5 linked regions of the Macaca mulatta genome follow. The protein of the gene in region 2 purifies or fractionates together with the protein of the main gene of each other region. This does not show direct contact. Links are inferred from orthologs where the notes say so. Each region holds a gene or a part of one and is shown on either strand. Other genes may lie near its edges.

Evidence for each region. Proteins that work in one complex are often made in the same cells at the same time.
Region 1: the proteins of MAP3K7 (region 2) and IRAK1 purify together in Homo sapiens (affinity purification with western blotting; 5 studies listed by BioGRID). This does not show direct contact. The link is inferred for Macaca mulatta from reciprocal best matches to the Homo sapiens genes MAP3K7 and IRAK1.
Region 3: the proteins of MAP3K7 (region 2) and RIPK2 purify together in Homo sapiens (affinity purification with western blotting; 4 studies listed by BioGRID). This does not show direct contact. The link is inferred for Macaca mulatta from reciprocal best matches to the Homo sapiens genes MAP3K7 and RIPK2.
Region 4: the proteins of MAP3K7 (region 2) and PELI3 purify together in Homo sapiens (affinity purification with western blotting; 3 studies listed by BioGRID and IntAct, with this or other methods). This does not show direct contact. The link is inferred for Macaca mulatta from reciprocal best matches to the Homo sapiens genes MAP3K7 and PELI3.
Region 5: the proteins of MAP3K7 (region 2) and CARD11 purify together in Homo sapiens (affinity purification with western blotting; 3 studies listed by BioGRID). This does not show direct contact. The link is inferred for Macaca mulatta from reciprocal best matches to the Homo sapiens genes MAP3K7 and CARD11.

The regions. Positions count from the first base shown.
Region 1 is NC_133426.1:160,268,564-160,272,585, reverse strand, and holds the start of IRAK1 (interleukin-1 receptor-associated kinase 1), read left to right. Parts: upstream 1-1,222; 5' UTR 1,223-1,328; coding exon 1,329-1,464; intron 1,465-1,549; coding exon 1,550-1,717; intron 1,718-1,819; coding exon 1,820-1,951; intron 1,952-2,069; coding exon 2,070-2,173; intron 2,174-2,360; coding exon 2,361-2,549; intron 2,550-2,794; coding exon 2,795-2,859; intron 2,860-3,029; coding exon 3,030-3,144; intron 3,145-4,022.
Region 2 is NC_133409.1:95,420,012-95,423,521, forward strand, and holds part of MAP3K7 (mitogen-activated protein kinase kinase kinase 7), read left to right. Parts: intron 1-1,059; coding exon 1,060-1,190; intron 1,191-1,845; coding exon 1,846-1,975; intron 1,976-3,510. UniProt on the Homo sapiens protein: Serine/threonine kinase which acts as an essential component of the MAP kinase signal transduction pathway. Plays an important role in the cascades of cellular responses evoked by changes in the environment.
Region 3 is NC_133413.1:100,214,690-100,218,840, forward strand, and holds the start of RIPK2 (receptor-interacting serine/threonine-protein kinase 2), read left to right. Parts: upstream 1-1,351; 5' UTR 1,352-1,725; coding exon 1,726-1,898; intron 1,899-4,151.
Region 4 is NC_133419.1:7,948,696-7,952,960, reverse strand, and holds the start of PELI3 (E3 ubiquitin-protein ligase pellino homolog 3), read left to right. Parts: upstream 1-1,465; 5' UTR 1,466-1,580; intron 1,581-2,709; 5' UTR 2,710-2,710; coding exon 2,711-2,862; intron 2,863-3,413; coding exon of another isoform or gene 3,414-3,485; intron 3,486-4,265. UniProt on the Homo sapiens protein: E3 ubiquitin ligase catalyzing the covalent attachment of ubiquitin moieties onto substrate proteins. Involved in the TLR and IL-1 signaling pathways via interaction with the complex containing IRAK kinases and TRAF6.
Region 5 is NC_133408.1:37,050,946-37,055,004, reverse strand, and holds the start of CARD11 (caspase recruitment domain-containing protein 11), read left to right. Parts: upstream 1-1,259; 5' UTR 1,260-1,536; intron 1,537-4,059. UniProt on the Homo sapiens protein: Adapter protein that plays a key role in adaptive immune response by transducing the activation of NF-kappa-B downstream of T-cell receptor (TCR) and B-cell receptor (BCR) engagement.

The sequences.
Region 1 (4,022 bases), on a different chromosome or scaffold from region 2:
TGAGGGGTTTGCCCAAAGGGGGCCCCCTTGTTACTTAGACTTCCTTGGCTCTCAGGAGCAGCCTCACCAGGTTGGTAAGGAGCTGGAGGAGACAACTGCTCAAAGGAGTCCAGCTTCACATGCACATACTAGAAGGTACCCTCTAAAGGCCGGGCCTTGAAAGGTAGATCCCAGGATTGAAAAGTCAACTTGTATGCATTGAGCATCTCGTGCACCAGCCCTGTTCCAGAAGCTGTTGGGCCTTTGTGTGTAAGCAGGACAAGTCCCCCCGTGGAGGTTAGCATGGGTGTGCATAGTCATTTCACATTCTTGAGTTGGTACATCTCAGTAAAGTCTATCCCGTGAGAAGCCATGGGTTTCATGGTATGGTTGGCATCTTCCTTAGGAGTGGCCACAGTGGTGGTGGCTTCTGGGAAGAGACTCCAACAGGGGCCAGCTGTGGGCCTTGGCAGATCTCGTTTCTAGGAAAAGTTCTAAGTCTGTAGGGCTAGGGGTGGGGAACCCCTTCCCTGTCAGGATCAAGAGGGCAAGGGGAACTGTCGCTGGGAGAGACATCCAGCTGGAGAAACTTTAAAAAGAGTAAGTCTGCGTTGCTGCTTGTGGGGTCTTCCCCATCTCAGGGCGGGGACCGGGGGTGGCGGTCCAGACAAGTGCTCAAGGACGATGCCCAGGAGGGGACAGGAGCTCTGCCGGCGGGCTCAGGAAGCCTTCACAACTGCTTGAGCTCACCCTTGCCAAACGAGGGCTGGGGCAGCAGCAACGCGTACACTCACGGCTGTGGGGGCCAGCGTTCTTGGCACATTTCAGGACACCCAAGGAGTCTGAATGGCTCAAGGCTGCTGCTCTGTGCAGGGGGCTAGACGTGGGGCGGACCGGCAGGGCTCCTGGTAACAGCCCTGTAGGCCGCAGTGGAGAGCAGGGCTCCCGCCGGGCCGCCCAGGAGCTTTCGGCAGGCCCGGCCCCGGCCCCTTTCCGAGCAGCCCGGGCCTCCGCCCTGCCCTCGGTCCCCAACGCCGGGAGCTGCCGTTCGTCCTCCAGAGCCCCGCCCGGGCGAGCCCGGGAGGCCGACCGCCGCGCGCGAAACGCGCCGGGACCCGCACCCTCCCCGACGCGGGGCGCCCCCGTGTGGCCGAGCGCGCGGCCGCGGCGCGCAAGATGGCGGCGAGCCCGGGCACCGCCCCTTCCGCCCCGCCGGGTGTCGCACGAGGCCGGCTCGAAGGGGAAGTGAGTCAGTGTCCGCGGACCCGGCCGGCCCAGGCCCGTGCCCGCCGCGGCCTTGAGAGGCCCCGACAGGCCCCGGCCCGGCGGCGGCGGCGGCGGCGGCGGCCATGGCCGGGGGGCCGGGCCCGGGAGAGCCCGCAGCCCCCGGCGCCCAGCACTTCTTGTACGAGGTGCCGCCCTGGGTCATGTGCCGCTTCTACAAAGTGATGGACGCCCTGGAGCCCGCCGACTGGTGCCAGTTCGGTGGGTGGCGGCTGGCGGCCGGGGGGCGGAGGGCGGGGGGCGCGCGGGCTCCCGGCGCCGACGCCTGACGCCCCCTGCTCCGCAGCCGCCCTGATCGTGCGCGACCAGACTGAGCTGCGGCTGTGCGAGCGCTCCGGGCAGCGCACGGCCAGCGTTCTGTGGCCCTGGATCAACCGCAACGCCCGTGTGGCCGACCTGGTGCACATCCTCACGCACCTGCAGCTGCTCCGCGCGCGGGACATCATCACAGCCTGTGAGCGCGGGACTCCGGGCACCCCACGGCCGGGAGGCCGGCGGGCCCCACGGGGCTCCCCGACCCGGGCCTCAACCTTCCTTTCCTTCCTTGACGTCCCAGGGCACCCTCCCGCCCCGCTTCCGTCCCCAAGCACCACTGCCCCGAGGCCCAGCAGCATCCCTGCACCCGCCGAGGCCGAGGCCTGGAGCCCCCGGAAGTTGCCATCCTCAGCCTCCACCCTCCTCTCCCCAGGTAAGAGGGCCCGGTTGTTGGGCTCGGTGGACCCAAAGAAGGGCCCACCTTGACCATGGCCACGGCTGTAGACCCTGCTGCTGGTCTCTGCCTGCCTCTCACTGGTGTCTTTATGAAGCTTTTCCAGGCTCCCAGACCCATTCAGGGCCTGAGCTCGGCCTGGTCCCAAGCCCTGCTTCCCTGCGGCCTCCACCGCCATCTCCAGCCCCTTCCTCTACCAAGGTAGGTGTCTCCTGTCCCCTAGGGAAGATTCGAGACAAGGAGGAAGGAATTCAGCCTTTGGTGTACCACAGAGCCGCAGTCAGCCAAGCTGGGTCAGCTGGGAGGCAGCTGTGGTGGGGACAGCCTGGAGCCTTCGGCAGAAGGGAGGAGACAGGGACCCCACCTGATCCAGGCTCTCTTTCCACAGCCAGGCCCAGAGAGCTCGGTGTCCCTCCTGCAGGGAGCCCACCCCTCTCCATTTTGCTGGCCCCTCTGTGAGATTTCCCAGGGCACCCACAACTTCTCAGAGGAGCTCAAGATCGGGGAGGGTGGCTTTGGGTGCGTGTACCGGGCAGTGATGAGGAACACGGTGTATGCTGTGAAGAGGCTGAAGGAGGTGAGTGTCGCACCCTGGCAGGGACCCTGGAAGGCCATCAGACAACCCTCACTCACTTCTCCAGCCTTTCCCCCTCGCTTCCCCCACACAACTCCTTCAGCCCTCATTCCGGCGCAGGGTCCCTGGCCCCTTGGTTGTTCTGGGCCTCAGGCACGTGGCACTGGTGGCCCAAAGGCCTTCGGTTCGAGAGCCTCACCCTGCCCGTCTTCCCTGCCCCTTCCCCCACCGCACCCTGGGGGCTGCAGGACGCTGACCTGGAGTGGACTGCAGTGAAGCAGAGCTTCCTGACCGAGGTGGAGCAGCTGTCCAGGTGAGGCCAGATGGGGAGCCACACCAGGTCCCGTGGGGCTTCAGACCACACACTACACGACCTGGCTCCCTTGGGCGCCTGAGGCCTGCCAGGCCCAGGCAAGCTGAGGCCCCAGCCAGGGCTGCCCACCCAGTCTGGCCTGATGGAAAGTGCTCCCCTTTTTCAAACAGGTTTCGTCACCCAAACATTGTGGACTTTGCTGGCTACTGTGCTCAGAACGGCTTCTACTGCCTCGTGTACGGCTTCCTGCCCAACGGCTCCCTGGAGGACCGGCTCCACTGCCAGGTAGGCTCACCTGGCCCGGCTCGCTTCCGAGGACCCAAAGCACTCCTGACACCTGGCTGGAGCCGGTCGCGGGGCCTGGGGCTTTTAGCCTGTGTGAGCGGGTCCTGCTAGCAGGCCAGGCCTGCACTTCCAGCTCCCCAGCAGCACCCCGCTCAGGATTTGGCCCATGGTGGGGTCACTTTTTTTTGAGGTGGAGTCTTTCTCTGTCACCCAGGCTGCAGTGCAGTGGTGTGATCTCAGCTCACCACAACCTCCACCCTCCGGGTTCAAGCAATCTTCCTGCCTCAGCCTCCCGAGTAGCTGGGACCACAGGCACACGCCACCATACTTGCCTAATTTTTGTATTTTTAGTAGAGATGAGGTTTTGCCATGTTAGCCAGGCTGGTCTCAAACTCCTGACCTCAAGTGGTCTGCCCACCTCAGCCTCCCAAAGTGCTGGAATTACAGGTGTGAGCTACCGTGCCTGGCCTGGCCCACTGTTTTCTATAGAGCTCTTCCCCAGGCCCCTCCCCTTTGCAAGCGGAGTAGCTGGAGGGTCTCATCAGCAAGCCCCGGAGGCAAGGGGGTCTGGGGCTACCAGCTGGACCAGCCAGCGCTGACGGAGGACCCCCTTGCCTCCTCCGGCATACTGTGTTTGGGGAGAGTGGGAAGAATGCCTTCAAGGACTTCCCGACCACCCAGGGACAAAGGGATGAGCCCTGGGAGCCTATGCCCAGCAGATTCTATTGAACATGTCCCCAGCCACTGCCCAGCCTTGAATGCTTTGACAAGCAGCCAGAGTAGCTTAACAAGTGCAGGTCACGGAGACTTTGCTCCTCGTTTTCCAGAAGGGGGAAACTGAAGCCTAGAGAGTGAAGTGGCTGTTCCAGGCTGCACGG
Region 2 (3,510 bases):
ATCAGAAGACAGCTTCCACAACATCTGTGCCCATCTACTCTGCCTTCTTCTGTTACTCTGGCTGAACTATCCATACTTCTGGCCAAAGGTGTACCTTTCTGCCTGTGCATTATATCCCATCTGCATTATATCCCATCTACTTTTCTGAGCAATTCTCCTCTCTCTCTTGCATCATCAGCTTTAACTTTCTACTGGATCATTCCTAGAACATACGTAGTCTGTATTTGCATTCTCTAGCTTCTCTTTTCCCCTTCTTTCTTGAGCCGACTCCATTCAGACATATTATGCCAGTACTTCAGAATTGTTCTTGTCAAGGTCACTAGTTATCTCTACATCACTACATTTAAGGAATCATTTTCATTTCTCATCTTGACTCTCAGTAGCACTTGATCTAATTCATTACTTTCTCCTTCTTACACACAGCACTTTATTCAGTTGGCCTCTGAGATACCATACTAGCCTAGATTCCATCTTACATCTCTGGCCATCTGTTCTCAGTTTTCTTTGCTGGTTATTCCTCATCTCCCCAACCTAGAAATGTTGAAGTGCCTAGGGCCCAGTCATTTGGCTTCTTCACTTATCTGTCTGCACTCATTTCCTTGGTAACCTCATCCAGTATTGTGGCATTATATACCATCTGCTGGCTCATAATTTTTTCCATCTTATACCTGAACTCTATACTCATATATCCAACTACTTTCTATACATCTACTAGAAACTCAATATTTTCCAAACAGAGTTCCTGATACTTCCTTCAAACTCAATCTTCCTGTAGTCTTTCCCCATCTCAATTAATAGCCCTCAGTTCTTCTACTAGCTCAGGTTAAAAACCTTAAGTTATTCTTGACTATTAGAAGACTATTTAGGCATCTTGGTTCCTTTTTGTGCTAGCCTTAAGTTTTGCTTAAAATGGGTTTGTTTGGATATCTTCATTAGCTTGAAAAGTCTTATTTCTGTTCCTGCCTGGCTAGTTTATAAAAGAATGTAAGTTACATAATACTAAGTGAAGCATTTTTATTATTTCCAACCAGTAGTCATAAATGTTTCTGCTTTTCCTAGGCTCATTCATGGACATTGCTTCTACAAATACGAGTAATAAAAGTGACACTAATATGGAGCAAGTTCCTGCTACAAATGATACTATTAAGCGCTTAGAGTCAAAATTGTTGAAAAATCAGGCAAAGCAACAGGTTTGTTTTGTTATTACAAGTAAAATTGGTAACCTTAACAGTAGTCACAATATTATACTAAATGAAATTAATTATTTACCATCTTCTATTTTATAAATCCTGAATTTTCTTCCTGAAACATATAGAAGAGCTTACAAATAGAGACTTGTAATGAGAGTCTCCTACCATTTATTACCAAATGGTTTTTCCTTCTAATGATTGCTACCTTTGCCAACTCTAACTCCCTATCTATAATAATCCTTAAATGTAATGGTTGATGGTTAAAAATGTAAAACGGATATATTTTGGCTGTGCTGCCCAGTTAGAGGAGTTGTCCTAAGTGTATCATTTCATGCTATTCAGATTTATATTTTTGCCGTTGTTGATTTTTAAAAATATTGTAAGGAGTGAGTTTATTCATTTTGCCTGAGGCATTTAGGTTAATGAATAATTGGGGCTTTTAGCCCCAGTTCTAGTGACTACTCTTTCATAAAAACAGTATCTGCAGCTTGCTTTCCCTTACTGCTGTAGCTCCCTCTCGTGCAAACTTCCCTCTCCTTTCAGAGCAGAACAGGATCCATCAGAATCCTACTTGCCATCTTCCTCCTTTTAGGTTGCCTAAGACTGCTAAATCTAAAGAACTTCAGTAATTCAGATTGACCTGTAATTTTAACAGAGTGAATCTGGACGTTTAAGCTTGGGAGCCTCCCGTGGGAGCAGTGTGGAGAGCTTGCCCCCAACCTCTGAGGGAAAGAGGATGAGTGCTGACATGTCTGAAATAGAAGCTAGGATCGCTGCAACCACAGGTAAAAAGGAACTACAAGTCTGAAGAGTGAAATGTATATAAGCCTTTTTGGCCATGGTAGTTTCAGTTGTCAGAGGTTTTGTGTGTGTGTCTTTTTTTTTTTTTTTTTAAATAGGAAGTAGGTTTACAATATATTTTTCTAAGTTACTAGCAATAATTTTGCATTTATCTCAAATTCCAAATAAGGAAGGTATGACTTGTAAAATTATTTGGATGAGAAAGTATGCCTTCCTCATTTACAGATTTTATCAAATGTAATTCTTTCTGCTCAAACATGAGTTGAAAGTCTGAGTGAGAAATTCTGCCAAAACCGGAATATTTTGGGGATTTTGAGTGATACTACTAGATTTTTGTGCTGAACTCTAATAATAGCAAATATTTTGTTTCAAATTTAACAGAAAAATGTATTCCAGATCCACGTATGATTTGACCTTCTATCTGCTCCTTCATTCCAGTGACAAAATATTAGCTAAGCTGGTTATGGTTAATTTTTTTAATTGTAAAGTAAAAGATCATAATTTTATTGGATCTTGGAAAAGCTAGCATTTAAATTCCATTGTTCAGTTCTTAAAATTATTAATCATGGAAGAACTGGTCAGCACAAAAACAATTACATGTTTTGTTACCTAAGTAAACTGGCAACCTAATTTTCTGACCAGGTTTCATTTTAGTAATGCTGGTTTAGTTTGGACTTCGTTGTTTTTTGCTGATTCCTTCCAGGGATTGGGGGGAGCTGATTTTAAAAGTAAACACATTTCTGTTGTGGAAAATGTGGAAATGTAAACAAGCCAAAAAAACTTACATAATTACCCCACTCAGAGATAAACACTTAACATTTTTGTGTATTTACCCCAGTCTTTTAACTATATATATACGTATAAATGTGTATTTCTATGTGTATTTGCATCTTTTTTAACTTAGCTAACCAATTTTTTAGGTATTTTTTTCACTTATTTGGTTTTTTTCTAAATAGAATATTCTTATTGTGTGTGGAGCTCTTTCAGAAAGAAGTTGTCAAGATGGACCATCATACTATACTTGTCTTCAACTAATCATGATCATTGATTTTTATCAGCTAGTATTAGAATCCATTAGATATAACAGATTTCCAAAATAACAGTGTCTATAACACATAAGCATTATTTTTCAGACATAAACAAGTCTGAAGGTAGTGGGCTCTGTGATCTTGAAGTAACTGGTCTCCTATTTCTGTGCCGTAATCCCTATTGTATAGCTTCCATTCTCAAAGTTATCCTGTGCTCCAAAATGGTTGTTAAAGTTCCCTTTCATCACTTCTACATTCCAGGCAGCAGGAAGGAAGACATGGGGGTAGGGCAAATAGGCATCCAAGTTCTTTGAAGGAACATTCCCAGATGCCTTTCCTAACAATGTCCACACGTCATTGGTCAGAGTAACATGGTCGAATGGCTACACGTAGCTCCAAGGGAAGAGGAGATCTGCCCTCTTTTATCTGATGACTTTTCTGTCCTAAATAAAATCAGAGTACTATTGCTAAAACAGAAGGGAAGAGTAGAG
Region 3 (4,151 bases), on a different chromosome or scaffold from region 2:
GGGGGCCGGGCGCCTGTAATCCGAGCTACTTGGCAGGCTGAGGCAGGGGAATTGCTTGAACCAGGGAGGCGGAGGTTGCAATGAGCTGAGATCGCGCCACTACACTCTAGCCTAGGTGGCAGAGCAAGACTCCCTCTCGAAAAGAAAAAAAACAAAAAAAAGTGTATTAAGCAAGAAAGCACAGAGCATCAGACCATATATTTAGTGCTGAACATTTTATTATAAATGATCAAAAATTTTTAACACACTATCGTTTACAACCTTCCACTATTGTAAAACCTAACATTGCTACTTTCATTTCAGGTAATGCAAAAATACGAGACGCATTAGCTTTCTGTAGGCAGAAATCTGCTCGAGTCATTCCTGATTACTGAAGCCCTAGAATTAATTAAACATCTAGTATGGACTTGGTATTGTATATAACATTTGCACTCATATCTTACAAAATAGTCACCTAAGTAGAAAGGTGTTCAAAGCAGCAAGATGGAAATCGTTTGCAGTCTTTTTTGGTTGGCATGAAACACTGACTGCATTCCTCCCAGATTTATAAGAAAGAATTATTTGCAGTCTTACCTGGAGTCAGAGGGATGGACACTCTCAAGGTTATTTTTCACTCTCTGCATATATATACTTACGGAAGTAAGAAAGAAGAGGGAGAAAGGCAGATCCCACATAACAGCGGTTAAACACCTCAACTTGCTCCACTATGACAGGGTTTATCATCCATCTCTCAGTCCTGAAGTGACTGGAAATATGGAAATTGGAGTCCAGGTAGACAGGTGAGAGTACAACCTCTTAAGTGTGGGGCCCTCGGAATTCACAATACCCCCAAATCGCTTCCTGCGCAGGCGGAGAGTCGGGAGGGAGTCAGAAAGCAGAACCCCGAGCCCCCTAAGAAAGACCCCAGCCGGACGCTGCAGCTACCGGGATTGGCAACTTCCGGAAGACCTGTGGCCCAGAGAATTTTGGCGGTCGGGGTGAGGGTGAGGGTGAGGGTGAGGGTGGGGGGTGGGGGAGGAGTGAGGGGAGGGGTGGGGTGGGGGTGGGGTGGGGGTGGGGGGAGGGGTGGGGTGGGGTGGGGGTGGGGGGAGGGGTGGGGGGAGGGGTGGGGGGAGGGGGTTGGCGGCTAACCAATCCGACACCCGCCAGCAGGCTGAAGAGAGGGGCTTCCCAAAAGCAAAACTTTCCCAAACCTGGGGGATGGGAAGAGAAGACAAAAGGAGCGCCTCTGGCTCCCTTTCCCACTTCCCGGCCGCCCGCCCCAGCCCTCGGCCTCGGCTGCGCGACCCGGGCGGAGGATCCCGGTCGCAGGCCGAGGCGAGAGCCAGGCGGAAGGGCCGCGAGCGGGCTGCCCCTCTCCCCGCCTTGCTGTCCGCAGCTGACGTAGCCTGCGAAGTTTGGGGAGGGAGGAGCTCAGGCGGCCTGAGCTGGTGGCGGCGCGCGCCGGGGAGGGCCGGCCGGGGCGGCGAGAGAGGAAGCTCCTTCGCGGCGCTACGGCGTTGGCACTAGTCTCTAGAAAAGAAGTCAGCTCTGGTTCGGAGAAGCAGCGGCTGGCGTGGGCCGCCCGGGGAATGGGCGCCCTCGTGACCTAGTGTCGCGGGGCAAAAAGGGTCTTGCCGGCCTCGCTAGTGCAGGGGCGGATCTGGGCTCCCGAGCGCGGCGGGGGAGCCTTGGGAGCCGCCGCAGCAGGGGGCACAACTGGAACCGGCCTGAGCGCCCGGGACCATGAACGGGGAGGCCATCTGCAGCGCCCTGCCCACCATTCCCTACCACAAGCTCGCCGACCTGCGCTACCTGAGCCGCGGCGCCTCGGGCACTGTGTCGTCCGCCCGCCACGCAGACTGGCGCGTCCAGGTGGCCGTGAAGCACCTGCACATCCACACCCCTCTGCTCGACAGGTAGGCAGCCAATGGGGTTCCCGGGAAGAGCCCCCAACTATCCTGCATCCCCTCAAGCCCCCTGACAAGCGGGCTCTAGAGCCCAAATGGCAGTGACCGCTTGGGGCCGGCCCCACCTCGTCACCTCTAGGCAGCCCTTCAAGCTTGGGAGGTAGGGAGCACCGACCCTTCAAGCTCTGGCACGGTAGGGAGCACGCACTTCTCTGGAGATGCAGCAGTTGCATTCCTCCACGCATCTCTCCATTTCCCTTTCTCTCCTTCCCTCTTACTCCTAAGCGTTCTCTCTCCGTACTCCAAAAATCAGCAATCACTGCCAAACTCTAAACGCCGGGTTTATTGAAATTGGTGTGTGTTTATATGGAGTGGGTGTGGGTTTTGCTTGCTTTGTTTTTTCCTTATTTTTGAAATCGGGCTGTAGGGCTGCAGTGTCCAGTAGGCAGCCCTTAGCCACAGGTGAGTACTGAGCACTTGAAATGTGCCCGTCCGAATTGAAATGTGACCTAAGTGTAAAATACCAGAGTTCGAATGCTTAGTATTTATTTTTAAAAACTTGTAATATTTTATTAATATTTGTTTATTGATTATATGCTGAAATGATAATATTTTTGATATCTTGGGTTAAATATAAGATTAAAATTCATTTTAATGTGTTTCTTTTTACTTTATGTGGCCATGAGAAAATTTTAAATTGTATGTGGTAGATTTCACATTCTATGTTTATTGGACAGAGCTGCTTTAGAATCTACGATGTTTTGCTTTTTATTGCTTTTGTTTTGGTTGTGGTTTATTATGTGTTATCAGGAACGTTTTATATCAAACTCAATACAATTCAGTTTCTCCCACTCTCAGTTTCTCTCACGGGAAGATCGTTAAGTAGAGGAAATGTGTGCTATTTTTGCCACAGTAAATTGAACCAAAAGACTGTTAAATGGCCAGAAATTGTAAATGGCTTTCACTTACTGGTTTGTACAGGTTTTAAGGGAAGGTTAACATTAGTTTCTGTTTTCAGAAGAACATTACAACCACGTGCCATAGACCTGTAACTGTGTATTAGTCAATGGGTCTGGTCACTAGTCTTGTGTATTTTACTTCCTACAGGGATTTAACTAGGCCCAGCATTCAGTTCTTAGTGAGTTAACATCCATGATTACAACATTCTCTTCTCCTCCTCCTATATCTAATGTGAAAATACGTCATCACAGACGCCTGATTGGCCAGAAGCTGTATCCAATATCAGATAAATTCCTCAGCTTCTGCCCTGCCAAAGTTACTGGATTTTCACCTACCTGTGACTTTTCTTCATTGTCTCACTGTCAGGCTTGGATGGCCTAAATGGCACAGGAGATCTGGGACACCTCTAGAGCTTGTTTCCACTTCTTTTCTATCATAATCCAGATTCAGTGATATACAAGGTGTGGTGTCTGTTTACTCTGGGCCTTATGTTCTGTGGCGCAAGTGCTGGGCAAGTGTGTATATGTGTCTGTAGTCAACTTTTAAGGGTGGTGGTTGGTTAGAGAGGATGGATATATGTTAGAACCAGTTATGCAAACACTGTATGGAAATATAGCACTGATGGACCCAATAGGTATTGAAAAGCCAATTGATCCTCCCACTTTGGGTGCTGCTTCTCAGGATTTTAGTTTATCTAAGCTTTGTACAGTTTGGGGACCAAGAAGTGAAGAGGGAGTTTCTTTCCCATGCTCATGAACAATTTTCATAGTCTAAAATTCTTCACTGAATTGGGTAGGAAATTAATTCTGTCTTCGAGGAAGCCATAAGACCAGTGAAACACTCTGGCATTACTGCATCACATTCTTTTTTCCAATTTGTTACTTAAGATCTTATCAGTGCAGTATTTATGTAGTCTGAGCATTAGACAAGGCTATGCAGTTGACTCACTGGTGTCTCTTTCCTCACTTATAAAATAGGAATAATAAATACATGTGTGTCTCGGGCTATGGAGAAGAATGTTTGCATTGTTCTTTGGGATGACCTGAAAGAAAAATTTATGCAATGTTACATGCCCTTATTTTAATGATTGGTGAATCAGTCTCCATAATCTGACTTCTGTCCGATGAGTGGACCTTCCCCAACAATCTTCCCACCCCTTATGAGTAATGAGTCCAATTGGTTGTTCAAATACCCTGTAGATGACGTAACTTTTTTATTAAATTTTTGAGTTAATTTTGGTGATGTGACTATAGAAGCTGTATTTTACGCCTTTATTTTCAAAATATAAAAATCAATTTTTAC
Region 4 (4,265 bases), on a different chromosome or scaffold from region 2:
AATGGAGGCCTCTGGAGGCATCAGTGAGGGCAGCTATCCTGTGTCACAGGGTTGTGGGAGTCTCGCAGGGAAATTCTCTGTGACTAACGAGTATCGTTTCCCCTAAAGGATGTGCCGTCGGCTGCATTCTTGTTTCATCTAGCCGCTGGGCCCCAGAACAGTTGGCAAAGCAGTTGGTATCTTTGGTTATTTTTAGGTGGGGGAGTTAGCAGGGTGGATGTGGTAGGGCCCCAGGGGACTCTGGTAGATTGGGAGCTTCAGGTGCAACAAGTTTTTGGGGGTGGGGGTGGCAGCGGCTCCCTCTCGGGAATGTTTAGGCAATCTCCCGGAATCCTTCATGATGGAAGTCAAAAGCCACCTCCTCTATGCAGTCTTCCTTGATTTTCTCATAAAACACCCCCACCACCACCCACAAGACCAAAGACTTGGTCTGGAACTATAATCCAGCCTTTAGTTATAGTTCCAGACCAACAGTACTGAGCAATAGGGACCTTACCTGATGCAGATAAGGTTTCTTTTCTACATCTCTGAGGCTCCATCCCTAGTCAGAAGGATAAGGTACGGAAGCCACTCATACAGCTGAGATTCTCTCTTGGCTCGTTTCTAGCAAACTACAAGTAAGTCACTTTTGTAAATCTATTTCCTCATCTGTAAAATGGGCAACTATCGTGCCTGCCTTCCAGGATTAAAGTAAAGGGTTTAATTTGCTCAAAGCACAGCGCACAGCGCCTAACGTAGACTGGTAGATCTGGGCCCCAGGCCCAGAAGGGGCTGTGCTCCCGCAAAGGTCTCTTTCCTTTGCAGCACATCGGGTGGTGTGTGCATCCTGGCGGGGCGGGGGGGACTAAGGGGAGGGGGGTGCCCGAGCTGGGCTGGAAGACAGGTCTGCGACTCTGTTCAACTGCAGCTGCTTTCCCCGGCCTCCACCGCTGCCGCACACCCCCTTTGCCTTTAGCATTTTCCTCCTCTCCTCTAATTGCGTGGCGTCCCCAGATGGAAGATGAGGTGTCGGAGCTGGGGGTGGGGAGTCCCCCGGCCTAAGACTGGGGAAGGGTCCTCCAGCGCCCTGTGAGGGCCCTGACCTACGGTGGGGAGGGGGCGCCCGGGTCTCCGGGAGAACTCCGGAGTCCCCGGAAATGGAGGCGGAGTCTGGGGAGTCTGAAATGGGGGAGGGGTCACGTAGACTACGGGGGAGTCCTGAGCCGGCGAGGAGGAGCAAGGGAGTCCCTCAGACGGAGTGGAGGGCGGGGCTTCCCTGGTCAGAGGGCGGTGCCAGGAGAGGGGCGTGGTCTCATGCGAAGGGGAGGAGCTCCCCCGACGAGGGCTAAGCATCGCCGCAAGAGGCGGAGTCTGGAGTGAGGCGGGGCTCTCCTAGGGGCGGGGACAATGGGGCGGGGCCTCAGGGCAGGGGGCGGAGCGTGGCTCTTCGCGCTCATCCCCCTCCTCCGGCCCCGGGTGTCCCCGTGACGAGGCAGCGCGGAGCCGCCGCGGGCCTGGCCCATCCCGCCGCAGCGGCCCGGGGCCGAACAGGGGCTAGGCGGTGAGGGAGCGGCGCCCAGCGGGTCCCGGAGCGTGGCCAGGTGAGGCCACCGGGGCAGAGGGGGCGGGGGCTGCGCCGGGCGGGTCCCGGCGGGCGCGGGGGGCGTGTTTGCGTGTCTGGGGGTGGCGGAGGGAGTGGGTCCGAGGGCGGGCGCCGGTGGCTACTGCGCGCCCGCGCTTCCCTGCGGTCGCGGGTGCGGGTGGTTTCTGCGCCGTCCGGGCCGGGGGAGTGCGGGGCCGTGCGCGCGCGCGTGTTGTGCGGAGGGGCCGCCGGGTGTGGACCTGCGTAGGTGCTGGGCCGCGGTTCTCGTTCTGCCCAACCGGGGCGCAGGGCGCGGGGCGCGGGGCGCGGGGCGCGGGCCTGCCCCGGCGCGGTCCCTCCAGCGCGAGGATGTTTTCCAAACGGGCTGCCTGCGGGAGACGGCTGTGCTGCAGCCCGAGCTCGAGGGGGGAGCGCCGCCCCCACAAGCCTCCTGAGACCCGGGCGGCTGGGGACGCAGACACCTGAGGGAGGGAGGGAAGAGCGCGCACCCAGGAGTCCATTGGCCTGCCCGCAGGGGGAGGCCGAGATGGGGAGACTGAGGCAGATGGATGGTGAGGCGGAGGCGGGCAGACAGGCAGACAGGCAGAGACGGGGAATAGGGGGAGAGAGACGGCGAAAAGGACAGCGGCTAGGAGGACAGAGAGTCATTGAGAAAGCAGATGGACAGACAGAGGCCTAGACCTCAAAGGGGCAGAAAGATTCAGATGGACAGGTAGATTCAAAGAACCTGTCAGAGGGGCTAAATCAGAGGTCCAGAGGCTAAGAGCCATAACCAGGAACTGAGTCTGAGATGAGGGGTAAGGGCCCCCAACTCATGGGGTGCCCCTCTTTGAAGCACATCCCAGACTGGGATCTTGGCCAAAAAGCAGCCTCTGGCCACCCCAAGTTGGTCCATTCCTCTGGCACCACTGAATATCCTGACCCTCTTGACTGTGCCACCCCTCCCTGGTATCCCAGCAACCTCGGGCAGTTTAGAGGAGGCAGAGGGGAAGTGGTTGCCATAGCAGTAGAGGCGGTGAAAGGTCACCCTTGCCTTAGCCTAGGCGGTCCTGCAGCAGGCTGGAGCTGGGATTGGGTGGGCCTGGGGTGGGAACCTGCAAAGCTCTTTTCTCTCCCACTCTGCCCAGAATGGTGCTGGAAGGAAACCCTGAAGTGGGGTCCCCCCGAACCTCAGACCTTCAGCACCGGGGGAACAAGGGCTCTTGCGTTCTCTCTTCTCCCGGTGAAGATGCGCAGCCAGGCGAGGATCCCATCAAGTATGGTGAACTCATCGTCCTGGGGTGAGCATCTCTGGCCTAGAAGGGGTGAAGCACCAGACACCCACCCAACGCAGCCAGAACAAGGGCCCCGACCCCTCCCTCCCCCACAAAGTGCCTTCTGCTGTTCGTCCCTCCTCACCTTCCTAGCTGAAAGACAAAATTGACCAAACCCACCTCAATTCATAATTATTGTTTTATCTTCCTATTTTTCACAAATTACTGTGACAACTCTAACCACCCAACTTCCTGATCAGATGAGAAAAACGTTAACACCAGCTGCCTTTCCTAAAGCACCTAGTGTGTGTGGTGTGGGTTGAAGAACTCTGGTTCTGCAGTAAAACTGCTAGGTTCAAATCCTGCCTCTGCAAGTTGCTGAACTTCCCTGTGCCTCCGTTTCCCGTTTTGCAAATGGAGATGTTAATAATCCCTTCCTCAGAGAGTTGTCAGAAGGAATGAATGAGGTGATTTCTGTAAAGTACATAGAACAGCGCCCAGCACATATCAAGTGTTCTGGGAGGCAGGCCTGTGCCAAGCCCTTTCATGGACATTATTTCATTTCAATCTTCACAAAGATGCTGTGAGGAAGGAGGTGAGGAAACCGAGGCTCAGAGAGGGGAAGTGACTGGCCCAAGGGCACACAGCTGGTAAGTGGCAGGGCTGGGATTTGGACCCAGGTCTTTCTTACTCTAGGTCTAGTGCACTTTTACTAAGCCACAGCTGACCTGCACACTGCAGATGAGAAAGCCAAGGCCAGGAGAGAGGAAGCAACATGAACTGGCGGCCGGGCCAACCTTATCCCTTCCTGGTCTTCTCCTGACCAGGATCCCTGCACCATCCACTCAGATCTTTCTCCAGGGACAGACCCTCTTCCTCCTCCCCCATCTAGGTCTCCTTTTGGCCTCTCTCTGCCATCAGTCCTAAAGAAACTATTTGATAAGTTATATTATCATTAAGATTATTTTTTTATTATTTTTTTTTATTTTTGAGACGGAGTCTCGCTCTGTTGCCCAGGCTGGAGTGCAGTGGCCGGATCTCAGCTCACTGCAAGCTCCGCCTCCCGTGTTCATGCCATTCTCCTGCCTCAGCCTTCCCGAGTAGCTGGGACTACAGGCGCCCGCCACCTCGCCCGGCTAGTTTTTTGTATTTTTTAGTAGAGACGGGGTTTCACCGTTTTAGCCAGGATGGTCTCGATCTCCTGACCTCGTGATCCACCCATCTCGGCCTCCCAAAGTGCTGGGATTACAGGCTTGAGCCACCGCGCCCGGCCAAGATTATTTTTTTAAAATGGCTGTTTGTTGACACGTGCTTTTTTTACCAAAAAAAAAAAAAAAAAAAGCAGTAATAGCGAACACTTATCAAGGGCTTCCTATAAATATGCCAAACTCTGTGCTAAGCACTTTTAAATGCTTTGTCTCATTTAGTTC
Region 5 (4,059 bases), on a different chromosome or scaffold from region 2:
CCTGCCTTTGCCTACCCATAGCTTAGCTCTCGCTTTTAAGTAAGAACATGGAGTATTTGGTTTTCCACTCCTGAGTTACTTCACTTTAGATAATGGCCTCCAGTTCCATCCAAGTGCAAGTTACTGCAAAAGACTTTATTTCGTTCTTTTTCATGGCTGAGTAGTATTCCATGGTGTGTGTATGTGTGTGTGTGTGTGTGTGTGTGTGTGTGTGTGTGTGTGTGTGTGTGTGTGTTTGTGTGTATCACATTTTCTTTCATCCAGATTTTTGAGTCCACAATCCCTGTAAACCCTTGGGACCATCCCACCCACGACGCTGGCCATTTGGGGTAAATTATCAAAATGCTGACATCCAGCCGGACACGGTGGCTCACACCTGTAGTCCCAGCACTTTGGGAGGCTGAGGTGGGCAGATCACTTGAGGTCAGGAGTTCGAGGCCAGCCAGGCCATCATGTTGAAACCCCATTTCTACTAAAAATACAAACATTAGATAGGTTTGGTGGCGCACGCCTGTAGTCCCAGCTACTTGGGAGGCTGAGGTGGGAGAATTGCTTGAACCCAGGAGGTGGAGCTTGCAGTGAGCTGAGATCGCACCACTGCATTCCAGCCTGGGTGACACAGCAAGACTCCGTCTCAAAAAATAAAAATAAAGTAAAATGATGACATCCAAATCACAATTTCTCTCACAAGCATAGTTCACCAGAACGTTGAGGGTGCAAGCTGATGATGGATATCTTGGACCCCAAAGCTTTTGGGGTGAGGAAGGCCTTTGCAGGGGTGCTGACCAGCCAGCATGCCCAGGAAGCTTCCAGAACAGGGGCTGAGGGAGGAAAGAGGCTTGGGGTGTAGGAGGCTGCAGAATTTTATGTGGGACACCCCGTTCTCCCGCGCACACACACATTGCAGTGACAGGCTCTGGAATTTCTTGAGAAATTCGGCTAGACCTGGGGAGCCAAAGGCCTGAAGAACCTAGAAAGGGGATAGCCCCTTCCAAGGCCCCACCTGGACTCTGCCTGGGGTCACAGCTGGGTGGGGACTGACAACCAGGCTGGTCCAGCCTCACCCCGACTGATGCAGGTGGCCTGGACCCCGAGACTCGCCTTGGTCTCCCCATCCCCGGCTCCCTGATCTGTCCCCAAGCACCCCCACCCCAGGCCCTGTCCCCACTCCCACCCCCACCTCCTTACCGCCCTCCTCCCGAAGCACCGACTCCGCCCCCTCCCTCTCTTCCTTATCTTTTTCTAACCTTTCGCATTTTTTAGTCTCATTTCCTGTCGGGTTTTGCATTTCCCTCCCCCGCCCCTCCTAGCCTATGACATACTTTCTCTCCTTTTTTCTCTCCTGCCTCCTCTGGCCTTCGGACTCCTGCCCGCGCCGCCCGCAGCCCCCTCCTGGCCCTGCAGCCCCTGGGCGGGCAGCGCCCCTCGGAGGACGGGTCCGGGCCCGCGGGGACGGAGGGCCCGGTCGCCTGGAGGAAGCCGGAGGCCTGCGTGGAGGAGGCGCCCCGCGCAGCTGGCGGAGCATGAGCGCCCCAGGTAGGCGCAGCCGGGATGGGGGAGCTGGTGGAGGGGGAGCACGAGGCGGGGAGCTGGGGAAAGAGAGGAGGACATGGGGAGGAGATGGGGGGCATTAGTGAGATGACATGGTAGTGGGGCGTGGGGGGGATGGGAGTGGCTCCTGCTGGCCCCGCGATGATGGGGGTATCCTTCCATCTCTGTCCCCCTGCCCCACTTCTCTCTCTCACTCTTATCTCCTCCTTTTCCCTTCCAACCCTTTTTCTCCCTCACTTTCCACCTCGTGTACCTCTCCTCCGTGTCTCTCTGAGCCTCTCTGAGTATCTCTGCCCAGCAAAACCCCCACCTCCTCCTACTGGACAGGAAAAAATCGGGGGTCAGGAGGCTGCAGCCCCTTGGTGCACCTGCCCAGAGGGAGGAAGAGAAACTTTTCTGACACCTGAAGGGCCCGGAAGTTTGCAGACCACAGCCCAGCCTGACTCAGAGGCTCCTGGGAAGGTGGGGCCTGGCTCAGGGAGGAAGGGCAGCCCCACCAAAAGAGGGTATGGAGCTGGGAGATGGGAGAGGACAGCCTCCCGCAGGGACTCTGCTAGAAAGGGAGTGGTGGGGGCACAGGAGGGGGCCCAGGTTCCCCACTGAAACCCGGACCAGTCCCCAGCGGCCTCAGGCCTGAAAGCCACCCACCCCCAGGAGGCCGCTCCAGGCCCGATGGGGCCACCAGGCCTTCTGCTGAGCCCCCTCTGAAGATAGGGGCAGAGAGGGTGTTTCTGTCCCTCGGGGGCTCTGAGCACCGCTGGAGGCTGTCACAGGGACCCAGGTTCATGGACAGTGGTCTCAGCTGTGAGCTTCAGGGCTGCCCACACAAACTCCGTCTTGGACCAAACTGACCTCTGTCTGTCCCGCCTGCTCTCAAAGCCTTTGATTTGTAGTTCAAAAATGTTTCTCCTGACGTTTATGACTCGTCTTGAAGGTATAAGGTTACCAACCTGCCAGAAAGGGGAGAGAAACAGTCGATCGTTCATTCCACGTTTATTAAGTGCTCAGCATGTGCATAATATGTGCCAGAAATCCCAGGAGCCAGGAATTAATATGAGGACAGGAATTTCTCCGTCAGTGTACGTTTTTGTGCTTAATATGAGGACAGGAATCCATTAAGTGTCCATTTCTGTGCTTTCGCGGAACCTCCCGTTCTTTCCCCAGCGAGGCATCTGTAAAGAGATGATACTCCTGCCTCCGGCCGGGGCTGCCCTGAGGACAGTAACAGTGACCGGGACTCTGAAGCATAGCCAAGGCCAGGGACTGCTTGGACCCGTGTAGATGTTACTTGCCTGGGTATCAGATAGGCAGGCCGTGGCTCCCCTGGCCCCAGCAGTCTTCAGTTAATGCATGAATGGTCCTTGATGTGATTTTTTTAAAAATCGTGGTGAAATACACATGACATAAAAGTAGCTCACTGAACCGCTTTGAAGCGCACAGTGGACTGGCGTTAAGCCCATTTGCATTGTCTTGCAGTGGTCACCACCGTCCAGCTCTTCCCAAACTGAAACTGTGTCCCCCATTAAAGAACATCTTCCTGGCTCCCTCCTCAGTCCCTGGCAGTCACACTTCTCCATTCTGTCTCTAGAAATCTGATGATTTTCCGGACCCCGTATAAGGGGGCTCATACAACCTGTGTCCTTCCCGTGCCTGGCTTATTTCTCTGAGCCTCATGTCCTCAAGGTTCGTCTGTGTTGTCACCTGTGACCGAATCTCCTTCCTTTTTCAGGATGAATAATATTCTGTCGTGTAGATAGACCATATTTCGTATATCTGCTCATCCTTTATGTGATTTTTAAAAATGACTTCTGGCCGGGCGCAGTGGCTCACGCCTGTAATCCCAGCACTTTGGGAGGCCAAGGCGGGTGGATCACCTGAGGTCAGGAGTTCGAGACCAGCCTGGCCAAAGTGGTGAAACACGATCTCTACTAAAAATACACACAAAAAATTAGCCTGACGTGGTGGTGCATGCCTGTAGTCCCAGCTACTTAGGTGGCTGAGGCAGGAGAATCGCTTTGAACTGGGGAGGCGGAGGTTGCAGAGAGCTGAGATCGCACCACTGCACTCCAGCCTGGGCGACAGAGCAAGACGCTGTCTCAAAAAAAAGACTTCTAAACCTAAGTCTTCTAAAGATGACGACGCTTGTTTGAATCCATCAGTGGGTGTGTGTGGGTGGCTTTGTACTTGGTGGCACAGGGGACGCAGGAGGGATGTGAGAAGCAGTGCTCCAACCTGAGTAGGTTCATCACACAGTCTGTGTATGCCGTGGTCAGAGTGTGGCTGAGACGCACATGAGATGGAAAAGAATTAGGAGGAGTGGGGAGGGAAGCAGGGAGTGAACTTGGGAGATGGTAGGACTCAGAAGGTCCAGGGATCCCTGGAAGGTTCCAGGCTGAGATGGTGCTGAAAATCTCAGGGAGGAAGGGCAATCCCCCCGAAAGGGGGTGCAGAGTTGGGAGATGGGACAGGACAGCCCCCTGTGGACACTGTACTAGGAAAGGGGTGGCA